Linked DNA regions of Mytilus edulis. The protein of the gene in region 1 interacts with the protein of each later gene in a pairwise test. Links are inferred from orthologs where the notes say so. Each region holds a gene or a part of one and is shown in the gene's direction. Other genes may lie near its edges. The genes, in order: chaperone Ric-8A-like, syntenin-1-like and prenylated Rab acceptor protein 1-like.

Evidence for each region.
Region 2: the proteins of chaperone Ric-8A-like (region 1) and syntenin-1-like interact in binary tests that used the Homo sapiens proteins (3 or more experiments, as listed by UniProt). The link is inferred for Mytilus edulis from reciprocal best matches to the Homo sapiens genes RIC8A and SDCBP.
Region 3: the proteins of chaperone Ric-8A-like (region 1) and prenylated Rab acceptor protein 1-like interact in binary tests that used the Homo sapiens proteins (3 or more experiments, as listed by UniProt). The link is inferred for Mytilus edulis from reciprocal best matches to the Homo sapiens genes RIC8A and RABAC1.

The regions. Positions count from the first base shown.
Region 1 is NC_092350.1:6,076,691-6,084,168, forward strand, and holds the start of chaperone Ric-8A-like, read left to right. Parts: upstream 1-4,368; 5' UTR 4,369-4,483; coding exon 4,484-4,570; intron 4,571-7,277; coding exon 7,278-7,325; intron 7,326-7,478.
Region 2 is NC_092344.1:80,941,932-80,949,352, forward strand, and holds the start of syntenin-1-like, read left to right. Parts: upstream 1-4,314; 5' UTR 4,315-4,585; intron 4,586-5,178; 5' UTR 5,179-6,132; coding exon 6,133-6,186; intron 6,187-6,473; coding exon 6,474-6,677; intron 6,678-6,988; coding exon 6,989-7,159; intron 7,160-7,421. Other genes in the region: phosphatase and actin regulator 1-like, read right to left, coding at 4,078-4,189. UniProt on the Homo sapiens protein: Multifunctional adapter protein involved in diverse array of functions including trafficking of transmembrane proteins, neuro and immunomodulation, exosome biogenesis, and tumorigenesis.
Region 3 is NC_092348.1:82,591,601-82,599,338, forward strand, and holds the start of prenylated Rab acceptor protein 1-like, read left to right. Parts: upstream 1-4,724; 5' UTR 4,725-5,015; coding exon 5,016-5,098; intron 5,099-7,738. Other genes in the region: tubulin-specific chaperone cofactor E-like protein, read right to left, coding at 1,313-1,424. UniProt on the Homo sapiens protein: General Rab protein regulator required for vesicle formation from the Golgi complex. May control vesicle docking and fusion by mediating the action of Rab GTPases to the SNARE complexes.

The DNA.
Region 1 (7,478 bases):
GTGATATCAACATACGTAAATGATTGGGTTTTTTTTCAGCTAAGGCGAATGAATTAAGAACAATTGAACGCATATAAAATCGAAGGTTGTTCATAAATATGATATAAAACAAAATGAATCCGTAAGCAGTCGAATGTTTGAATATCAGCATATTTTGAAAAAAAAAATATATCGATATTCTCATTTTCAAATCACCGAAATTAAACCATAACAAGTTACCTTATATATGGCAAACAGTTTTAGACTCAATTTCAACACACATTTTGATTCAAAATTAAATGTTCTAATCTTTCCTTAAAATAATTGATATCATTACCGCTAGTTCTTATCTTATTCAAAAATATGAAATATTAATATAAGATATGATTGCAGCGAAGGGATTTGGAAAGAAGATCGTCCTGATATTCATGAATTCATGAAGAAGAAAGAAAGAAACAACTGTTATTGATAATTGATCACTGAAACTGTCCCTTGTACAACTTGAATCCAAATATAAAACACTGAAGTTACTCTAGGCCGAAGAGCTTCGAATCCACTATATATTTTGAACCGGAGAGCTTAAACACAAGTTGATGTTTTGATTCTGCCAAACAAAAAGTGAACTAGATATTGCATTAATTTATACATCTCTGAGTATTACAAAATATTTCAAAAGTTAAGATTCATTTTCAAATTCGCCAGTCCTAGAATCTACAAAAGCAAACATGGAGAAAAAACTAAATATGATAAGACCAGGCAAAGATTGTCAATAAACGTGTAGCATATTAACTATATACTGTTATACCACTGTCCCAGGTTAGGGGGAGGGTTGGGATCCGGCTAACATGTTTAACCCGCCACATTATTTAAGTAATTCTCGTTTGAATTGTTTTACATTGTCTTATCGGGGTCTTTTATAGCTGACTATGTGGTATGGACTTTGCTCATTGTTGAAGGCCGTACGGTGACCTATAGTTGTTAAAGTCTGTGTCATTTTGGTCTCTTGTGGACAGTTGTCTCATTGGCAATCATACCACATCTTCTCTTTTATACACTGTTAGACAGAGAGAAACAAAACATTCAATTTTAAGGCATAAAGTATTGACTGAGAATATTCATGGCTTCATGTTATAAGGGTAGTAAAAAGATAGTGTCAAATGTTATTTTTAAAAAGTTAAATTTTGAATAAAATGAACGTCAAAACATCTCAGAAATTAAGCTTATAATATATTTTGTTTAAAATTGCAAATATGCATATTTCGAGGTTAGGACAGCAGCATAAGTGTGAAGAATCAATCAAATCCTAAATACTAACGCCTAGAATAATAATAAAAAAAGAACCATATAAAAAATAAAAAAGTGCTACCCTATATTTTTTTTTATAAATGAACTTTATCATATACTTAATAGAAAAATGAAATAAAAAAATGGGGTCACCGTTCATTTAAGTTGACAATCTGCCACCGAAAGAAGCATATTAAATGTTTGTTAATGTACTTTTTTTCTGTTGAACCAGAGACATATATACACATATATGTCTCTGGTTGAACTAATCTGAGACCACGTGTTATAGTAGTCTCAGAACTAATAGGAGAAAAAAAGGTAGTATCGAAATAAAAAAAAAAGAACTAAATTACAGAAATCGTTAAAATTTTACAATTATTTAGTTTATGAACAGCTTTTTTGAAAACAATAATAAAAAATATATGTAACCGATGAGTTAAAAAAAATATTTCAATTTTAATGCCAAAAAAATGGCATTTTTGCACCAAAGGGAGATAATTTGGAGCTTTTTCAATGATATAAATACATTTTGATAACAGTCATCTGGGGCCAAACCGAATGGTTTTTTTTTATTGATTTTTGTACCATATCATAAAGTAATAACTAATAGTGTAATAAATAGAAATTTTTGTACCCGCGAGCCTCCTTAAAACTTTATGTTTGAAGTTATGTTAAGGAGACTAAATAGATTAGTAATGGTTAGGTAAAAAGATATAATGAGCCAATGGATGAAAAGTGCATTTTAACGATCCACTGGTTCTTTCATTTAACCTTCTGATTTAGAGTCTTTTCGCAATTCCTCTAATAATTAGACAATAGTATCGGTTGCCTCAAATGACTACCTATTGATTGTCTAAGAGATGCACTTTGACAACATGTATTCATTTATTATACACACAGTAAATTTAAACAATGAAAAAAATGATACACTTGCACTCAGATCTGCGTACTGAGTCGATGTTTTGAATGAATATCATTAAGGACATTTTCAAAATAATGATACTTATTGTGTATAAAATATCCTTTTAGATTTTAAGCTTATTCTTATACAGTTATATAATTGTCGGTGAGAAGATCGTGCTGGCATGGTGTAATATCATATTGATATGAAATTTGGTTATTATTCTAAATCTCCTGACATCCAGCATGTTTACCGCAGTAGTACATCTTTTTGCACAATTGATGATTTGAGTTCAGTATTTGTGATTTTACTTTTTTGTGTTATTTCAAGTTTTGTCATGCATGAGGAACATGTACGCCGTTAATTATATATATATGATTTATTAACATGCAGTTGCGCTATACATATTTCGACTATGCCCTGGCGTTAGGGGTTTCTGGGTTTATTTTCTTTTGAATTTACAAATGAGTTCGATTCTGGCATTACAGCAATAACTTGGTGAATGTATACTTGCGGAAAAACATTAAGAAAGCACTGGCAGGAGGAATCGTCTTTTGTTGTGACAGAAGCATTACTGGTGGACCATAAACTTAAGAAAATGGCATGCACTGTATAAATAAAGTTATTTATTTTATTTTCCTTCCTTTTCCTATCTGCATGGCAAAATCTTATATTAGAAAAAAAAAATTTATACCCGCGAGCCCCCTTAATTCACTGTTGTACCTCTTTATTGTTTTCATGAAAATTCTAATATTTCGTAATTACACATCGTTGACTATTAGGCTATTAAGAAATACATACCTGTTAAGCGACGCATATGTAGATCATTGGCGGATCCAGGGGGGGGGGGTGTGGTTCCGGGGGTTGGAACCCCCTTTTTTTGGACGATCAATGCATTTGAATGGGAGCATATAGTTGGAATCCCCCTTTACTCGGCGTTGGGACCCCCCTTTTTGAGATGGTTGGATCCGCCCCTGTAGATTAAACAAAGTTGATAAATGATACATTTCGTTATCGAGCATTGATAAAGGCCTGCAACTTAGAAAATCAAAATTATCTCCCCTTAATTGACCTTTGACCTTTGACCTTTGCACTTCAATGGAAACAAAGAACTATTAATGCAAATAATTATTGACTCAACCAAAGTACGGGAAAATATTCAAATTCTCGACGAAGAAATTACAACAGAGATAGAAAGAATAAGCAGAAAACTGTGCTATGACCTCCATTGTGGCAGAACATTATTACACAAAAGGATGGCAGTATCAAAGCAGTCTGAGGCAAAAGACCCCGGGTGCAATGTCTAGATAACTATTAATTAATTTTTACCCCCAAAAATAAAAATTGAGTTAGTTAATTATCAGACATATATCTTAAAAGGAAGCTTAAGAGTAAACTTAATTGGGCAATGTAACACAAAAAGGAATATACAATATTTTAGTTTTTTTTAAAAGGCCTAAATTGGTAATATCTCAGATCAAATATTTTAGATTTTATAAAAGTATTATGATTCTATATTATCAACCTCTATTTTAACTGTAGAACAACTGGTTAAATGGAAATAAACTGATATAAATTCTGCATGTTCTGTACAGTAACATAACAGTTAATTTTAATTTTAGTCGTGTACATAGTAATGATAAATCCCAGATCATTAAATACCAATCTATATTTTTATAATCCTTTTATTTTTCTGTCAAGAAATAAATGAATAAACTATGTCCTTTTACCTTTTACCAGTAAATCTATTTCACTCCTTTTTAATCTGTACGTTTTAAGATATTTTGACTAACATTATTATATGCTTAATGTACATAAAATAGTAGGTGTAAATATTTTTATGTTAGTTTTTACATTAAAAAACGGTTTTAGGACAACGATAATCTTTTAAGGATTGTATATATTCTAATCTGGTTTGCTCCATATTTTTAAACAGTAATAAATAAAAATAAGGGTTTTTTTCTGTTACCGTGTGACACGGGTGCTCCGTTGCGGAGGAATTTACATAGAGAAGAAGAAGAAGAAGATCCTTTCCTCAAGCATTTGAATTATTATTTTACGTTTCTTTAATCACTCTGTAATGTTTATGTCATGTTGTAATTAATGTTATGCTCTTAATTGGCCCTTTAATTAATATGGAAAACAAAAATATTGTATTGTATTGTATTACATGTTGATTCCGTAAGACATAAAAGCTGTATATGCACGCACTTATTTATAACTGCAGAACACTATTTGAAATCGCATAAAATGATGAAGCTGAAGATGTCACTGAATATCATAAACAAACATATTATTTAGCAATATTCTGTTATCAAAATGAATATTGACGACAGGTGCTTGCGTATTTTAAACAGTGGATCTGACAAAGAAGCATGCAGTGTGCTACTTGAACTAACAACAAAGGTATGGACTATATATACATTTGTAAGAATGGAAATAAGTCAATTCAAAACATATAAGTTATTATTATTATTTGGAACAGTATTCCGTATCAAAGACCTTTTATTGGTCAAGTACCAGTTTTCTCTTTAGAAATTCATCTTTTTTTCTAGAATAATCTTAAAATGAAATATATTATAAAAAAGAAGATGGGGTGTGATTGCCAATGAGACAACTCTCATCAAGAGACCAAAAGACACAAAAATTAACATCTATAGATCACTGGTATCCGGTCTTTTCGGCCCCAAACCGATCCGGCCCCAAGTCAATATGGCCCAAAGTCGATCCGGTCCAAGTCGATCCGGACCCAAGTCGATCCGGCCCCATAATAAAATATGAAAAAACTATATTCACTATATGGAGGAATTTTTGACAAATTTGAACAGTATATATAAACGAAATCATTAGTCTACAATTGGTTTGTTTATTCAACAATTGTCTAATGATTGTGAACTAAGGTAATGCCACTCGTAATAATCACTTAATTCAATCAAATCCCGATCGATTAATTAAAGTTGCGTAATCAACAAGGTCTTTACATACCTGTCAACCTGTGACGATGAAAATGTAGGTCATGACCTGCATTGAAGAATCAAATCTCAGGTCATAATGCGTACAAACTTTTTCCAGCTGAATTTCAGTTGATATATTATTATAGTTGAAATATGTTTGTAAAACAACAGTGCAATTTATTTACGACCTAAAGCTAAGGTAATTGGTGTTAATTAACACTGTGTTTGACACCAAAGCTGTCAAGTAAAGCCAAGCACTTAATGGGTCACTTAATTTGACAGTTTACACAGCTAGATGAACTTCCTGTTCATGGACGAATTTGCTGGTATTTCAAAGGTTTATTACCTAAGAAATCAATCTCATGGCTAAGAAATACGGGTGAAAACGGGTCATTTTCGGAATTCCCAGGTTATTCAATAACCCGGCGGGTGACCCGGGTGATCCCTCAGAATTGTGAAAATCTCAGGTCACACCCGCAGAATACGGGTCAGTTGACAGGTATGTCTTTATAATTTGATCTTTTGTTTGGTGTATATAATAATAATTAATTGTAATTTTATTTCAGGTAACATCAGAGGCTTCTATATAACACTTTTTTTTTGTAATATTGAATATAGTCAATATATCTGTCACCAAGGTCCACTCGAGAGCACTGTTAGATAAGGGGGAGCTTACTCGTATGTGATGGAACGAAGGAACAGGGGGTCAGTCTATGGCTAGACTTAATGTTCTGATAGGCATAGCTAAAACGCAAGGAAGGTTTTCATAATTTAATTACCATGATTACTATAAAAACTTAGTCGAATGATGATAACAAATCAATTTGTAAACAATTCCAAATAATAATAATAATAATCTAATCAAAGTACAAAGTATCAAATCTAAATATCAAATCCAAAGTAAAGTTATTTCTCCTTAAAATGTAAAATATAAAAATAAATGCCAAAACTACTAAAACATAAAATGTACTTAATCTCAATTTCAAAATATAAAAGTCTCAAAATAAAAGTTTCTCAAAAGTATTTTCTAAAGTTAAATTTATAAGTCAGAGATAAATTTTGTCTTAACACTACACCGCCAACTGGTAGACAGTCTTATAGGTCCAGTATAATGACGTTAGTAGTGTGAGGTTACGCTTCCGAAACACTGACTGCCTTTCCAAAATTTCACAACAATATTTATACCAAAATCTAAAATAAATAAATATGTCTTGACACATTCATAATACTCTCATTAGCAAAAATATACTTTAATTGACAAAGGATAATCCTGTAATGTTTTGATAAAAATCTAAACTTTCAAAGTGACATATGTTAATTGCAATTTATATTTCAAAATAAAGTGCTTTGAGCAAACTGTTACATTTCGAGTATTAATGCCACAGCATAGGTAAAATCAATTAAACAAATTAATTAATATTTTACTAAATACAAACATAAAATTTTCTTTCTTAAAATAAAACATATTTTTTATCCAAAATAACACTAACACAAATTTAAGCCAAATAACACACCATGACATATTTTAAGTTTGTATGTATCAGCTTGGGGATCGGCTTGTACCGTTGTGTGTGTAACTATTTGTTATTACACAAGACAAAAGACTTGTTAGGATCACAGTCAATTGAAAGAAAATGCTAATTACTGCTGATTAATGTTGATGTCTGAATTCTTTTTATATATATGTTTTAATATATCTATATGTAATTATCTTATTGAACATTTTTACTTAGCATAAATTATTTTCCTTATTTTGTGTGATTAAAGATGGTTGCATTGATCATGTTGATAAGTAAATAAACATCAATTCCATTTTTTTAGCCTCGCATGCATATTTTTATTTAGAAGACAAAGCATTGTCTTCCAATGTTGTCAAAATTTCATGTAGATGCTTGAACTTTTTTTTAAATATGCTTGGATTTTGAAAATTATCAATTTTGGTAACTTATTGACTTGTAGGAGTCAATATTTGCAACTTTTTAATTCAGGTCAAATATTTTTTGCTAAACACTATTCGACGTCATAATTTGTCTTAAATTAAAGGGAGACAAATTTTAAAACCTTCAAGTTTAGACCTCTGTGAGTCAAAAGCAGATTTAGACTTATTTATGTCTGAGCTCTGACTGCTTAATTGTGAATCATATCTTTGATACTTTCAGCATGCACAGACCTTCAGTTTTCCAGATCTGAAATTAGAAGCCAAACAGGTACATATTAATTTTTCTTAATCTGACAGTTTGATAGCCCAAAACCCTGAAATTTTGTAAACATGACATTGCTTTGGGTTTGTAAGGCTCAAGGTAGCCTGAATGTCTCCCTCCATCTTTGATTTTGAAATAGCTGATAACAATAGGTCTATT
Region 2 (7,421 bases), on another chromosome or scaffold:
TAAACTAAAGTTATAGTGCGAAAACCAAGAAAATGCTTATTTGGGCCCTTTTTGGCCCCTAATTCCTAAAATGTTGGGACCAAAACTCCCAAAATCAATCCCAACCTTCCTTTTGTGGTCATAAACCTTGTGTTAAAATTTCATAGATTTCTATTCAGTTTTACTAAAGTTAGAGTGCGAAAACTAAAAGTATTCGGACGACGACGACGCCAACGTGATAGCAATATACGACGAAAAAATTTTCAAATTTTGCGGTCGTATAAAAATTGCCGAATTTTTAATAATTTTTTTTTACATTTACATGTTTGAAACACTATAATTCATTTTAAATTTTTAAATTCTTATAAATTGCAGATGGTTAACCTTGAAAGAAATAGTTGATTAGCTAATTGCAGATATTGATTAAAACTTTTCTGTAACAAAATATATTTCAATCTGTACAAAAATATGGGACTGTCAAGTTTATAACTAATCTGGTTAGGCAGAATTTATCAAAGTATTTGTCTACATTTTGCTCAGTTTTGAAATCAAGTGAGCCTGTAGAGTCTGACTAGTCTGGAAGTTTTGTTTGCCTGGACCCTAATGTCATGTATGTAATGACACAAAAGTTAACCTATTCAGGGACTGAAACACAAGGATGAATGTATTATACATTTACTCAGATTTATTTATATGAGGAGACCTACATAAATGTAGGCCTTATGATCAATAGCTCAGCTTTCCAATACATAAATTTGCTATATATATATGACTTCATTCAATGATTATGTTTAAACCCACCAGCAAAAATGCTGTTGATAAACAGTGATATCTGCCTATTAACAACAGTTACAAAGTTAACCAGATGCTCCACAGGGTGCAGCTTTATATGACTACAGAGGTCGACCCTGAACGGTTGGGCCTAGTATGGACACAACATTCAAACTGGATACAGCTCTGAATTTGGATTGTGATTAAATAGTTGACACAGCATAGGTTTCTGACACAGAATGAATGTGGTTTAATAAACTTAAAATTTGTTTTTTGCCTTTGAGCAATTCACTATGCTGTTGAATATTAATCCTCTCAAAAAAATGTTTGAAGAAATTTTCTTTTTATTTATGAAATCTGTAATGAGAAAAATTTACCCCCCCCCCTCCCCCGCAGCCCAATTTTTTTTCACATCCCCCTTTCCCTTTTTCCAAAACTGATCTCAATTCAAATTTCTAATGGAGTTTTCAACAATAACTACTCATTTAAATACATCATAAAATATTAAAATGTAAAAAAAGTGCTTGTTATCACTGAATGGTAAAGATTGTTTTAATTTATCAGTTGGTAGTACATTTTTAAAAGTGAATATACATTGTATATTGTATTGTATAAAACAATGATTTAAGTTGATTCAACTACTATTCTGGACAAAGAAAGATAACTCCAATTGAAATCCAATTGGAATTTCTTGCTATTGCACAATATTGTGCAATTAGATATTTCTTGCTATTGCACAATATTGTGCAATTGAAAAAACTTGCTATTGCACAATACTGTGCAATTGAAGATTTCTTGCTATTGCACAATACTTAATATAATAATTTTGGATCCTGATTTGGACCAACTTGAAAACAGGGCCCATAATCAAAAATCTCAGTACATGTTTAGATTCAGTATATCAAGGAACACCAAGAATTCAATTTTTGTTGAAATCAAACTTTGTTTAATTTTGGACCCTTTGGACCTTAATGTAGACCAATTTGAAAACAGGACCAAAAATTAAGAATTTACATACACAGTTAGATTCAGCATATCAAAGAACCCAAATTATTCAATTTTTGATGAAATCAAACAAAGTTTAATTTTGGACCCTTTGGGCCCCTAATCACTAAACTGTTAGGACCAAAACTCCCAAAATCAATCCCAACCTTCCTTTTATGGTCATAAACCTTGTGTTTAAATTTCATAGATTTCTATTTACTCATATACTAAAGTTATGGTGCGAAAACCAAGAAAAATGCTTATGTGGGCCCTTTTTTGGCCCTTAATTCCTAAACTGTTGGGACTAAAACACCCAAAATCAATCCTTACCTTCCTTTTATGGTCATAAACCTTGTGTTTCAATTTCATAGATTTCTATTTACTTTTACTAAAGTTAGAATGCAAAAACTAAATGTCTTCGGACGACGAGGACAACGTGATACCAATATACATGTACGACCAAAAAATTTTCAATTTTTGCGGTCGTATAAAAAAAAGCAGGGCGAGATAAAAATTTAATATGTCATGTTAGTGGCAGATTGATTTTAAAAATATTAGTCACATTTAACTTATTGAGCTTGATATGTGTTAATACTCCTTAATAGACAGTTCAGTAACATGCAAAGGACACATTTCAACAAAGATCTATGAGAAGAAAACAAAAATAAACACATAATTATTTTATAACAAAAACATATGATCCCCACGTAAATTGTTCTCAACACTCTGAAATCTTCTGTCATCTTCAACTTCTAGTATAGATGCATTTGCATCTTGACTTCATTGATTGTCTCAAGTGCAATATAGTTATCATAAAACTCAAATGCTTCTCTCAAGGTTCTCTTGCTTCAAATACAAGCAGAGAATCTTTCTTTGGTTTTATGAAATTTTTGTTGCCTTGAAATGCTTGAATGTCTTTATAAAATTCCTTTGTAAGTCAATTATTTGAATTTGAAAGTGAGGGAAATAAATTAACAAGTTTCTACTCTAATGCAGAGTAACATTACAAAAGTTCAGAGTTCATGCATTTATAACTTGTATGTCAATTGATACTTGGACATTTTACTTACAAAGAACAACTACTACACAAGTTTATAAATCAATCCAAATTATAATTTATATACCAGTCTCACTTCTACCTAATTGTATTTTTATGAAAACTATTGCAATATATCATTTGCTCAAATGTGATGCTGTATTTTGAAAAGAACAACATTCACAACGACAGGCTACATGCCTTTTGAAGAAATAATGGCTGTGAAAATTAACATGTAAATGTCATTCATGGTAGTCATGGTAGTACAAGTGTCATCACCATCCCACAACAACCAGACATTTTCTACAGAAAATTAAAAAAGAACCCCTGAAAGATAGGGGAGACAAAACAGGCCTATTTCATTTTTTAAAGACATACGTACACCGTCTAGCTGAAATATCAACAGAAAATCTTTAGCATCCACAAAGTACATGCATAGTGAAAACTATCTCAGAATTCCAGCTCAGACAAACCCTTTTATAATTCAGCTTCCTACCAAGACAATTAAAATTGGAACATCCGATGTCACTAAGATTCAAATCTCAATTTGATGAATGACCTGGAGACCCGAGTAATTCTGAGTAAACTTGTCATAGGTTATGGTTATTGTGACACGACAACAAAAAGCATTTTTTTTTCCATGTATGTCACAGTTCAAAATGATTGACCTACGGTCAACTGTGGTAATTTAACTAATTCTTTTAAAAAAAACTTTAGATCGGTTAAAAGCAAGATGTTCACAGATGTTGTAAGGGGTCCCCATTTGTGACGCAAGTAATTAAGGGTTGACACACTTTGAAGTAAAGTCTCTGATTAGACTAAATAAACAGTAGAACATGTAGAAAACAATCAATGCAATTTGAAAGGCATTTAAAAAAAACTTTCAAAATGTCTATTAAAAATTGCAAGTAAAGACTAATTTCCGATAACAAAATACAGGAGCAACTTATTTCTTTATATGTTACCAATAGCCATTGTCATTAGACAATTGATACACGCAGTGTTTCACTGTTGTCTGTTGAAACTGACAAAGTGACAGGTACCTAAAATTAGGAGTCTCATATTATTTGAATGAAAGATGGAATAGAAAACAGGACATCCTTAATCATAATTCTGTCAAGAAGTAACTGTTTGACATACAAATTTTCAATACATGATTTAATAAGTTCAACCAATTCAATTATTGTGAAAATTGACAAAGGAAGTGACTAAATTTTGAACTGGAATTTTAAAGTTTATATCGACCGGGGTGGGGACATTTTCTCTTTGTTTAATGGCTGATTTGATAGAAATTTGTTTATTATTACCCTTGACAGACAGTGTGTCTTTTTGTTCGTCCAGGTTTGGTTGAGGATCACTGTTACTGCGCTGTCGTGTGTATTTTTGTCCAGTTACACTTTCATCTGTTTTGGTGGCCATGATCGGTGATGGCCATTTTAGGGATTACTTCCGGTTTGATTGGGGGTCAACATTTTATAAAAAAAAATATCTCATTTTAAAGATAGGTTTTGGCAACTGAAACAAAAAAATATCAATCTGTTCACATAATTTTTTATTTTATATTTGATAAACAATGGTCACCGGAAGCATCGTGATGTTTACTGTTACTAAAATTAGAAGTGAAAGTCAAGGGCACATGACTAATGACGTCATCTAATCAGGAGACATTGTGAAAGGGGTAATAGTCATAATATTCACAAAAGACACATAAATACATATCTACCTTTCATTCAAGAAGAAATATTGTCAAGAGGAAAATCGAATTATTGTCGATAACAGGTACTAGATAATATTTTAATTGATTTTGTTATTAAAGTATGATCAAGCATTAAGGTTCATCATAAGGAATTGAAAAATATGGCCGTGTTTACACCTCCAAAATTACTATGAGTACAGACAAACTGGTACATCCAGGAAAGTTTTAAGGCATGGCAGGAACTAGATATATAAAAGTTATATGAAGTCTACGTTTCAGAAAATTAAAAACTTACCTGGATTTTGATGTTCATTTTTTTCCAGTCTGCAGAAGATAGCAAAATAAACAAACACCCGAGTTTCATTTGATACGGTCCACTCAGTTACACAGTTTAAACCTGTTAAAACACCTATTGTTTACAGGTGTCTATTGTCCATCTATTGTCCATTTAAATCAATACTACTCACAACATTGATTATATGAGGGGAGATTCTCAATCGTTTTCACTACTTAGTTAATTTTTGCACCTTCTGCAGGAACGAAAAAAAATGGATAGCAAAATCTAGAAAAGTTTATAATTTTCTGAAACATAAAATGCATTTAAAATTTATATATCTAGTTCCTGCCATCCCTTAAAACTTTTGCAGGTGTATAGGTTAGTCTGTACTCAGAGTAAAATTTAGGGTGTAAATACGGCCATTTTAGCCAAAAGGTTATGATGAACCTTAATTCTAATTCAGAAAAATAAATAATTGACAACAATAATAAATGTCAAATTGATTATTATGCTGATTAAGGAAACATAGGTTAAAAAAATGCAACTTGGTGTTTAAAATACTCATATAACATGCTGTCTAACAGAAAGAATTTGATCTACAGTTTCAGTACTAGAATATAAAGGTGTGTGTTTTTTAAGATCAATAATGAATAAACAACTTCCTGAAAGTCATGACAATGTATATCCTATTTCCTCACCTTTATTACAGTTTGGAAATCTGTAATTCAAGTGTTTGGTTTGATTTTGAAAATTCGTTTGTGCCAATAAAATATTGTCTATTGTCTATTGTCTATGAAAATCTCACATTCACCAAATGTACAGTTTTAATGAAAAGATAGTTATCTATATATGCAGTTGTCTTCACTGCAAAAAACAATGAAATCTAGAATACTTATCAATTTACGTTTGTAAATACATTAATAATACTGTATACATGCATCTGATGTGTGATTTGCAAATTCAAATGGGGATAAATTTACAACATGTAGCAGCAATATTCATATTTAGATTTACATACAACATTCTGTTGATGGAAAAAAGTAAAAATCAAAAATGTTTTCCAAATATTTTTTTCAAAAGTGGAAGTATTATGAAAGATAAATAGAACCTTAAGCTTACTGACAGACCCATCTGTAGTACCATACCCCTCATCTAATAGGCTATTAGATGACAATACATTTGAAATCCACAGCTCAAAGATTAATTTTTTGATTAATTGCTGCTTTATGTTGTGCATGTTCCATATGTTCTGAAAGGTCTAATACGCTGATGTAGCAAAATGTCATATTTACGAAATTTATACATGTAAATGTACATTTGTATGTTTTAATAAATTAAATCATTTGAATTATACATTTTTTCTTTTCAGATCTACTTAAGTAAAACAAGATGTCTCGTTTATACCCAACATTAGAAGATATGAAGGTTGACCAGATGCAACAGGTAGGGTTTAAATGTCATTGATTTAGAAAAGTCCTGGCAAGGCCCTGTTTTAGTTGTTAATTACATGTATTTTGTCAGTTATTTTGTGATTATTTAAAATTGTTAGGTATATTTGTTTACAGCTTCAGTTATATTAAATTTATGATGCACATTCTTTACCTGATAATATTATATCCTTTTAGTGTACTTCATTTAAAAGTGCTGTGTTCCATTTTATGTGTAAAATGTACTTTGTTTATAAATTCTAAATTGACAAGAACAACCAAAATGTATCTCTTATATTTTAGGCTCAGCATCAGTATGAGTCATCAGCTGCAAGTCAACCAATCACATACCCTCAACAAGGGGCACCTGCTACCTACCCACAACAAGGAACAGCAGCTCCCTACCCACAACAGAGTGGATCATCTCTGTATCCCTCACTAGGAGAGTACATGGGATTAAATCTCACTCCAGAGTTTCTTGAACAAAACATGCCAGTAGTAGCACATGTAAGTTTTAAATCCTGCAAACTGAAAAGTTTTTTTTCCTAATCTGCATTTTAATTTAAATATTGTTAAGTAAACATTTATTAAGGCTTAGAGCATACCGAAGTATCTTTCAATTTTCTCTCTCACTTTCAAGAATAGATTATCAATTTTTTTCACTAATAAATCATTGAAGACTGAAACATCTATAATCAATACGAAATTCACTGAAAGAAAAAGAATATAGGAAAAATATCTGGAGTCAATGTTTAAGTTCTAATTTGATTGGAAACACTAATAGTCTATTGTATATAAGTATTTATTAAATGTTTCAGAATATGCAGATAGCTACTACACCAAGTCCTAGTCAGTCTATGATTGCACCAATAACTGGACAAGGAAACAAAGGTTTAGTAAGAGCTGAAATCAAAGGAGGTGTTAGGGAACTAGTAGCATGTAAGGATGGTGATGGCAAAATAGGTCTTAGATTACGTCATATCAACAGTGTAAGTCATTTATCTACAAAATAGGTCTTAGATTACTTCATATCAACAGTGTAAGTCATTTATCTACAAAATAGGTCTTAGATTACGTCATATCAACAGTGTAAGTCATTTATCTACAAATTCATTCAAAATAATTTTTAAAAAATCACAAAAGGAATTTAAAAATGTATAAAATGAACATTTATTCAAAAACAAATTCCACCTACATCCTGTACATACTACATGTAATTGCATGAAGACTAAAAGTTATCAATTCATTAAT
Region 3 (7,738 bases), on another chromosome or scaffold:
TTTATTTGCTGTGATAGCTAAACAGAAAAAGTTTGGCAAATGACGAAGATAGATTTTCTGGACAGGTCTTTTAATAAAATACAATAAAAAATGTCAATTAAATAAAGATCCCCATATGCGACAAGCTCACTTATGTCCTCTAGGAAAAGGTAGTAAGGTCTTTAATCATACAATTTGACTTCAACTTTAAAGTCATTAATGATATATGTTGTTCTTCTTATATGTTCCACCACTATCCAAGGTTAGGGGGTGGGTTGGTGTTTTCAAACATATTTAACCCTGCCCCATTCTATATGTGCCTTGTTTTAGTCAAGAAACTGTAATTCAGGGGTAGCAGTTTTTAGTTTATTGTTTTGCCTATTATTGTTTACATCAAATTCATTTAAACTTTGGTGGATAGATACATTCTCATTGGCATTTATATCACATCTTCTTACTTTTATATAATTGCCATAATTGAATAAAATTGAGAATTGAAATTGGAAATGTGTCAAAGAGACAACAACCCGACCATAGAAAAAACAACAGCAGAAGGTCACCAACAGGTTATGCATCCTTATTCATTAAAGCATCCAACTTAAATGTTATTCTATTTTTTGATGGCCAATATTGTCTCATTGGCTCACCTTCACCACACCTATCCTCTTCATGTCGGTCTGCATTTAAGGCCCTGATACATTTTTTTTCCCTCATTGGCATTTATACAATATCTCCTTATTTTTATACATGTGTATTATATATTAATTAGGATCCCTAAATAGACTAATAGAGTGACTACAAAAATGTAAATACAAAATGAACATCTATACTTCATAGTCATGATAGTCACATTGGCTGAAATGCATTTGCTGTTTTTGAGAAGAAGAAACAATTCACTGCAGACTTTTTTTCAAATCTCTATTGTTTGAAGCTTAAGTATAACTACACTACAGAGAGAAAAGATAAAACTTACTAAGTTCTCATCTTCTAAAGAGAAACAAATTTATTTAAAATGTTACTACGTATTATGGGAAGAAAGACTAACTGACATATTTATACTTTTTACTACAATAATACTAACTGCAAACAGAACAGACTACTTAAACTTTGCAATTGACAGCAAATCTCAATTCAAGAAAGTATGTTAGGCAGACACAGTCTTTGAGTATTACACTAGTATAAAATCAGATATTTTGTTCAGTTATCCACTGGTGCATGTGCTTACATGTATACTCATCATGACATGTACATGTACCTGTTTTCCCAGGCGCTGAAGCTAGTATGTGTATATATGTATATTGTACATGCATACCATCATGACAATAATGTTTACCTGTTTTCCCTGGAGCTGAAGCTGGTATGTGTATATGTATACATGTTTCCACATCATCATCATATTTTTGATGAATTGCCTCAACCATTGTTATTCCTGTAGAGGCAGTCATTCTGCCAAAAAAAAAATTAAAATGAAGAAGAAGTTTTATAGTTAATAACTTTATTCTACAAACTGTATCTTTTAAACTGAAATGTAGTCTGGGAAACACTATGCTATAACAACCACAAGTATAGATTTTGTTGAAGCTAAATTAAAATAAATGGGGAATGTCATTATGTGTATAATTTTTTCATTGGTAATGGAGCATTACTCTAGAACAGTAAAAGTGACACATCTTCATCTGTATTTGTGGTAATAAGCATGTTGTATGAGTTTCATAACATTGCTCTAAGGCTAACTTTTAGGTTATAAATTTAATCAAAATAAATTATCAGAAGAAAGGTCTAATAATTAATATGCTTTCAAATAAGAAAAAATAACATTTTTGCTGTTAACAGTTTATCTATATCATTTTAATAATAATCAAGATAATAACCAAAAACTGCAAAATTTTCTTAAAATTACCAATTTAGCAGCAGCAACCCAACAATGGATTTATGAAATTTCAGAGCTGATTTAAACTTCACCTAAGCAACACTTTAACCCCATGTCATTATTTTCTCTAGATGCTTTGATTTTGAGATTTAAGTAAAAAAATGCATTTTCCCTCTATGTTCTATTTTAGACATGGCAGCCATGTTTTTTGACAAAACAAAAAATAAGACAAAAACTTCAGTCTAGTTACCCTACGGATAATTCAGCTTAAGTTTGGTAGGAATTGGTTCAGTGCTTTCAGAGGAGATTTTTGAAAAAGTTCTCATCAGACAGATGATGACAGACAACGATGGACACAAAGTGATGGCAAAAGCTCACTGTTTCTAAAGGGGGTCTCATTGGGGGGTTCAGATCCCGGATTCCGCTTACTGTTTTGTCAGATTCCCATATCTCGCTTCACTACATGTATGTACGTAAGCAATTCTCATTTTTAATCAGTGATCGGGAAGGTCGTGCGCCCTGCGCCTATAGCGCATATTGACCAGAAATGGCGCATAGAGTGACAAATGTAAGCGCCCACGTGGCGCACGATATTTTTCACATCGTTTCGAAATGTTTAGATATCGTCAAATGGATTTCTGATCGTGTTCCGTGCCGCCATGTGTGTGTACACAACTGTATAATGTTGCTCCAATCATAGGAGCACCTGTATATATTTTTGGGACGTCTCATTGTTTTCCTATGGTAATAGAACCATGCGGTTTAACGTCTCGGGTGTTTTCCTATGGTAATAATAGAATCATGCGGTTTAACTGATAACCCAAAAAACGTAATTAACCATCATTCATGATATAATTTTTTATAAACAACTTTAAATTTGTGAAATTTGGCTATTACAGACGAGATGTAACTCTAATAATAATCTTTAATTTAGTTTCCCTTGCTATATTCGATTGAAAACCCCCGAAGCCTTTTTATGAATATAGTTTTTGTCTCCATAAAAGGCGCTTAACTACAACTCCTGGTCATTTTTTGGTCTTTGACCAGTTTTGACATTTTGTACACATGACCAGTGAATTATTGTTTTGTTCTATCAATTAGTGGTACTCTCTACTGTCATCATGATAAAGTAATAATAATAATACATGAAGTGCAGAGGAAGTGCGTCTGGAATAAGTATGGTATCGACGAAGACCCAAATTTATTGTTAAAAAATCCAACATGAACATGAACAAGCCAAGGCAACAGTACCAGTTTAAACATTGTAAATAAAGGTTATCTTTAATATTGTCTGCTTTGGAAGAACTTATTGTATATTCATTGAAATTACAGAATCACAGGAACAATTATTATCCATGATATTATTTAAAATCGTAAAGGTAAGTACCAACACCTCTTTGCCAAAAAATAATGATACTTTTTATTTTTTTTACCGAAGTCAATTCAAATGGCCCTCTCATTTGACAATATGGCCCATTATTTTTTAAAATGGCCCATTGAATTTATTTTTGAGGGGCCATGGGCCCATAGTGAAAAAAACCTTCCAGATCACTGAATTTTTTTGTCATTTCCCGGGTCCCGCAAGACCTCATTTCCTGTTTTCCCGACACAAATAATTTGACTTTCATGTGTCACGCTTACAAAAAATGGTCAATCCCGCATCATGCTTATACGTCCCCAATGACTGAATGAGACCCACTCTAAAAATCCAAAATGACATTTATCATGCTGAAGGTAGCCAAAAAAATAATAAGTCTGACGTTAAAGGACATTTTTAAACTCTTATAAGATATGCAGCTATAAAATAAATGAAAATGTCAAAATTTGCACAAGGAGGCCTTGGTCAGACTTCTTCTTCTTCTTGTCTCCGTATGAGCCTCCTTTAAATAGGAGCACCACCATAGTTATGGCGTATAAAGGAGGACATTTGGAGCCTGTATCGGTACAGATTAATGTGAGCATTTGCCTACCCAATTCCCCAGCCAGGCCGTGACGGGTCTTATTACCAGAAAGTTAACCTTCCCAAAACATAAATACAATGCAATCAAATAAAACATACGAACTCACACACTCACCTGATTCGCTCAGTCCTCAAAGTATAAAAAGTGTATTTTTTCTATGTATCAAATATCCTTTTTTAATATCTGTGTGTTTTGAATGGGAGAGGGTCACCCCGGATGCCCCACAAATGCCTTGGCAAAATACGTCTAAGGTAATAACGAGGAATCGGTTAGGACAAAATCTATCAAAACCGACACTACCAAATGCCCTGCTGTATCAAGGTAGAGGAAAGCCGAAAATCCTACTGAATAGGATCTCGGAAAGAAACTACCGAACCATTAGGAGAACAGCAAGAACTCTCAGACTTCAAATGATAGGTCTGATAGTTTCCAATGGAAACTACTAATGGTTCCCATATGGGCAGAGCACGTGTCTCAAACATACCTAAAAATATCTGCAGAGGTTTTCCTCAACAAGAAAATAATGACCGAAATTGAAAGTATATAATCTATGGATGATAAAATGCATCCAAGAAAGCAATTTAGAAGACTAATTTGGATGATGTTGATGGATTCTCTCTGCAAAAATTTCACGTCCGTTCTCATCGACACCCACTCACAATCTTTAATTTTTTTTTTTACTACAGTGCCAGTGGCAGTGACAGTGTTCTTACAATGTAGTTTGGAAAGATATAATTAACATCATCATTGATCATATGCACTTTTGATACATTACCTAGATGTAATATTCGGTGTCAAAATGAATTAGGTGAAAAGACCAGGACAAACCGCTTAGTTGACTTTCATTCTATTATTAGCTATTTGGTATTTGAATGAATCATTGATAAAAAAAAAAAAGTAGAAGCCTATATTTTGAACCGGAAGTGTGAACTACGTCATGGAAGTCGTGACTTTTTTTTGTAGCTTTATGTACATGTTCTATTTTACAGTTTTAAGTAAGAAAAAAACACTATTTTATTAATTGCATTTTGTAATTTCTGTTCATAATTAATCTTCTCTTTGCTTTCCTTATTATTTATTCAAAAACATCCTAAATTCAGAAGGTCCTTTTCAAAAACAAATAGCACAAAGAACAACAAAAATATTTTGACACATCACTGCAACATCTGAATACCAAAAAGCTTGTTGTGTTGTTTTGACAAGAAATGACAGATACAAAGTTAGATTTTGGGAACATAGCAGGAGACATTGATATTCCAGATAAACAAAGCTCTTCAACAGGAAAAGGGTAAGAATCAGTTTGAATAATTGCAAAGGTCGAGCAGAATTTTAACATTCAGACTCAGTTGTATTTTTCTGTCTTTCTCTTTCAAAATTTAGTCTTCGACACATTTCCTATTTCTATTCTCAATTTCATTGAAATATAATATTGCCAAATAATATTCATCACCTAAAAATTATATTTCCTATATATTTGAGAATTCTTGACAGTCAACTCATCCTTTTGCCAAAAACTCCTGATGGTGAGTGACCAGCTTGCCTAGTCCAAATAATTATGACGTCTTGAAAGGCTATGATAATTTTTTTCTTTGACGCCTTACTTCGACGTCGACGTCGTCGAAGTAAGGCGTCAAAGAAAAAAATTATAATAGCCTTTCAAGACGTCATAATTATTTGGACTACCAGCTTGCCCAGAGTGGGTCTTTTCACCACCGAACACCACCGTACACCACCGAACACCGCCGAATACCTGAAAAACCACCAACCACTAAGAAAAACGTTGATATCATACAATAAAACGATAAAATAAATTAAATTACATATTATTTAATCAATTTTTCGATTTTTATGGGCATCATTTTGATGTTAAAATCGTAAATCATTACAAGAAAAAACGTCTCCGGATTCATCACTTTCCGGATTACATTGTGTGTGTTATAAAATTCAAATATATTCATAATCAGTAATCAGTTCAAGTATCCTGGATCTCTATTCATTGGTTAGATTTTTATATTTTTCTCTTTTATTATTATTGGAACAACTATTTTATAGAAGAGTTAGAAGAAGAAAAAATGGGAAAAATGAGGTGTCCATGAGGGTCAGCGGAGTTCAAAAAGTGGGGTGTTATAAGACTCTTCCTTTCTGTTTTCTGTAGATATTTGGACTTTAAATCTTCTTATTTGTTGAATTAATAACTTGAATATCATATTTAATTCACATTGATAACGATAAAAGACAAAATAATAAACTTTTGGGGTGTTCGGCGGTGTGCGGTGGTGTTCGGTGGTGAAAAGACCTACCGGCTTGCCCCAACATTCTACCAATTTTCCATAGTAAAAGATTTTGAATTACCCACTCCATATAAACATCAATTACCAGTCAGAAGACTATATGAATTAAAAAGCTGTGGTCCAATCTTACAGGATAGCTTGAACGGACGCCAAATGGATGTAAAAAAAATCTGTTGACAAATTTGTATCCTTTGGAAGTGCATAGGTGTATTGACCAAATTAAACAAGCGGATAACAAATGCCTAACGTACACGGATGTGGAATGTACATTCAATGGACAAGTACCACATAAAATGGACACCTAACGGATATGTACAGGATAAAATGGACACCTAACGGAAGCGTTCAGCATAAAATTTAAGAATGAGATAAGCAGAAAATTATTGGTGGCAATAATGATACATAAATCTTTCAGCAAATAGCTTCCAGTCTTATGCTGTGCTTGAGAAGGGCATGACTTCATCCACATACTTTTCGAAATTTGAATATACATTTGTACATGTACATGCAAAAAATTGATAGAATCTGGCCTGTAAAATAGTTTTGGCACTGTTGTCATTAGCAATGACGAGAGCGTGTCTGATAGACATGGTATATAAGCTAGTATGAGCCATCCCTTTATCATTATATTTGCTTTTGCAAAAGTGGGATCAGATGGACAAAGTTGAAGGTCACACCTACCAAACAAATGGATCAATTTATCTGATTCTTTTAGCATACAACCGCAATGAATTTTGCGGTTTTATATTGGTATCATGTTGTCGTTAGCGTCCTCCCATGCCAAGACATTTGGTTTCCAGACAATAATTTTAGTATGACATGTATAAGTACATGTATGTATACATGTGTAAATAGAATCTATGAAATTTGAACTCAAGGTTTATTATCGCAAAAGGATGGTTGGGATTGATTTTGGGGGTTATGGCTCAAACCATGTAGGAATGAGGGGCCAAAAAAGGAGGAAAAACACTTGGGTTTCCTGGTTAATGGACAATTACTTTTAAGTACAATGTTAAGTTTGAATTACCTCCCTTACTCTGCTTTTAAATTAGTTATAAAGAAATGTTCGTTTTGTGTGGAGGTGATTAGCTGTCAAATTATTTTCAAAAGTTACTCCCAGTATTATTATTTTTTGGGGGGAGGGTCTAATCTTAACAGCATATTGTATTGCACAAATGCAAAAAAAAATTAATGAACATATTTTCAATTGTCATTTATCCGTTTTACCTTCGTGACATATCTGTTTACCAGTTAACCTTCCATTCATGTCTGTTTCACATTTGTTCATTGTCTGTGTTGTACGGTCCATATTAGTTCCAATCTTAATTGATTACCATTGTATGGTTTCCTTTGCAAGATCATGGTCTGCAAGTTGTGCGGTTTTCCTCAAGTAAATGCTAAGTTGCTGCTATCATCTGATCATAGTTTAGAGTTTTGAAAGTGGTGTTCTGTATCAGCAGACAATCAATTCAATTCATCAAGATATTTATGCAGATCCTGATGAATACTAGCGAACAAAAGTCTAAACTACTTATAAATTGAATATTAATATTTCATTTCAGTTTGTAAGAAAGATGTCTAAAAATTCTCCTTTTGTATACTCGTTTTGCATTTTTTATATAGATAAGCCCCTTTGT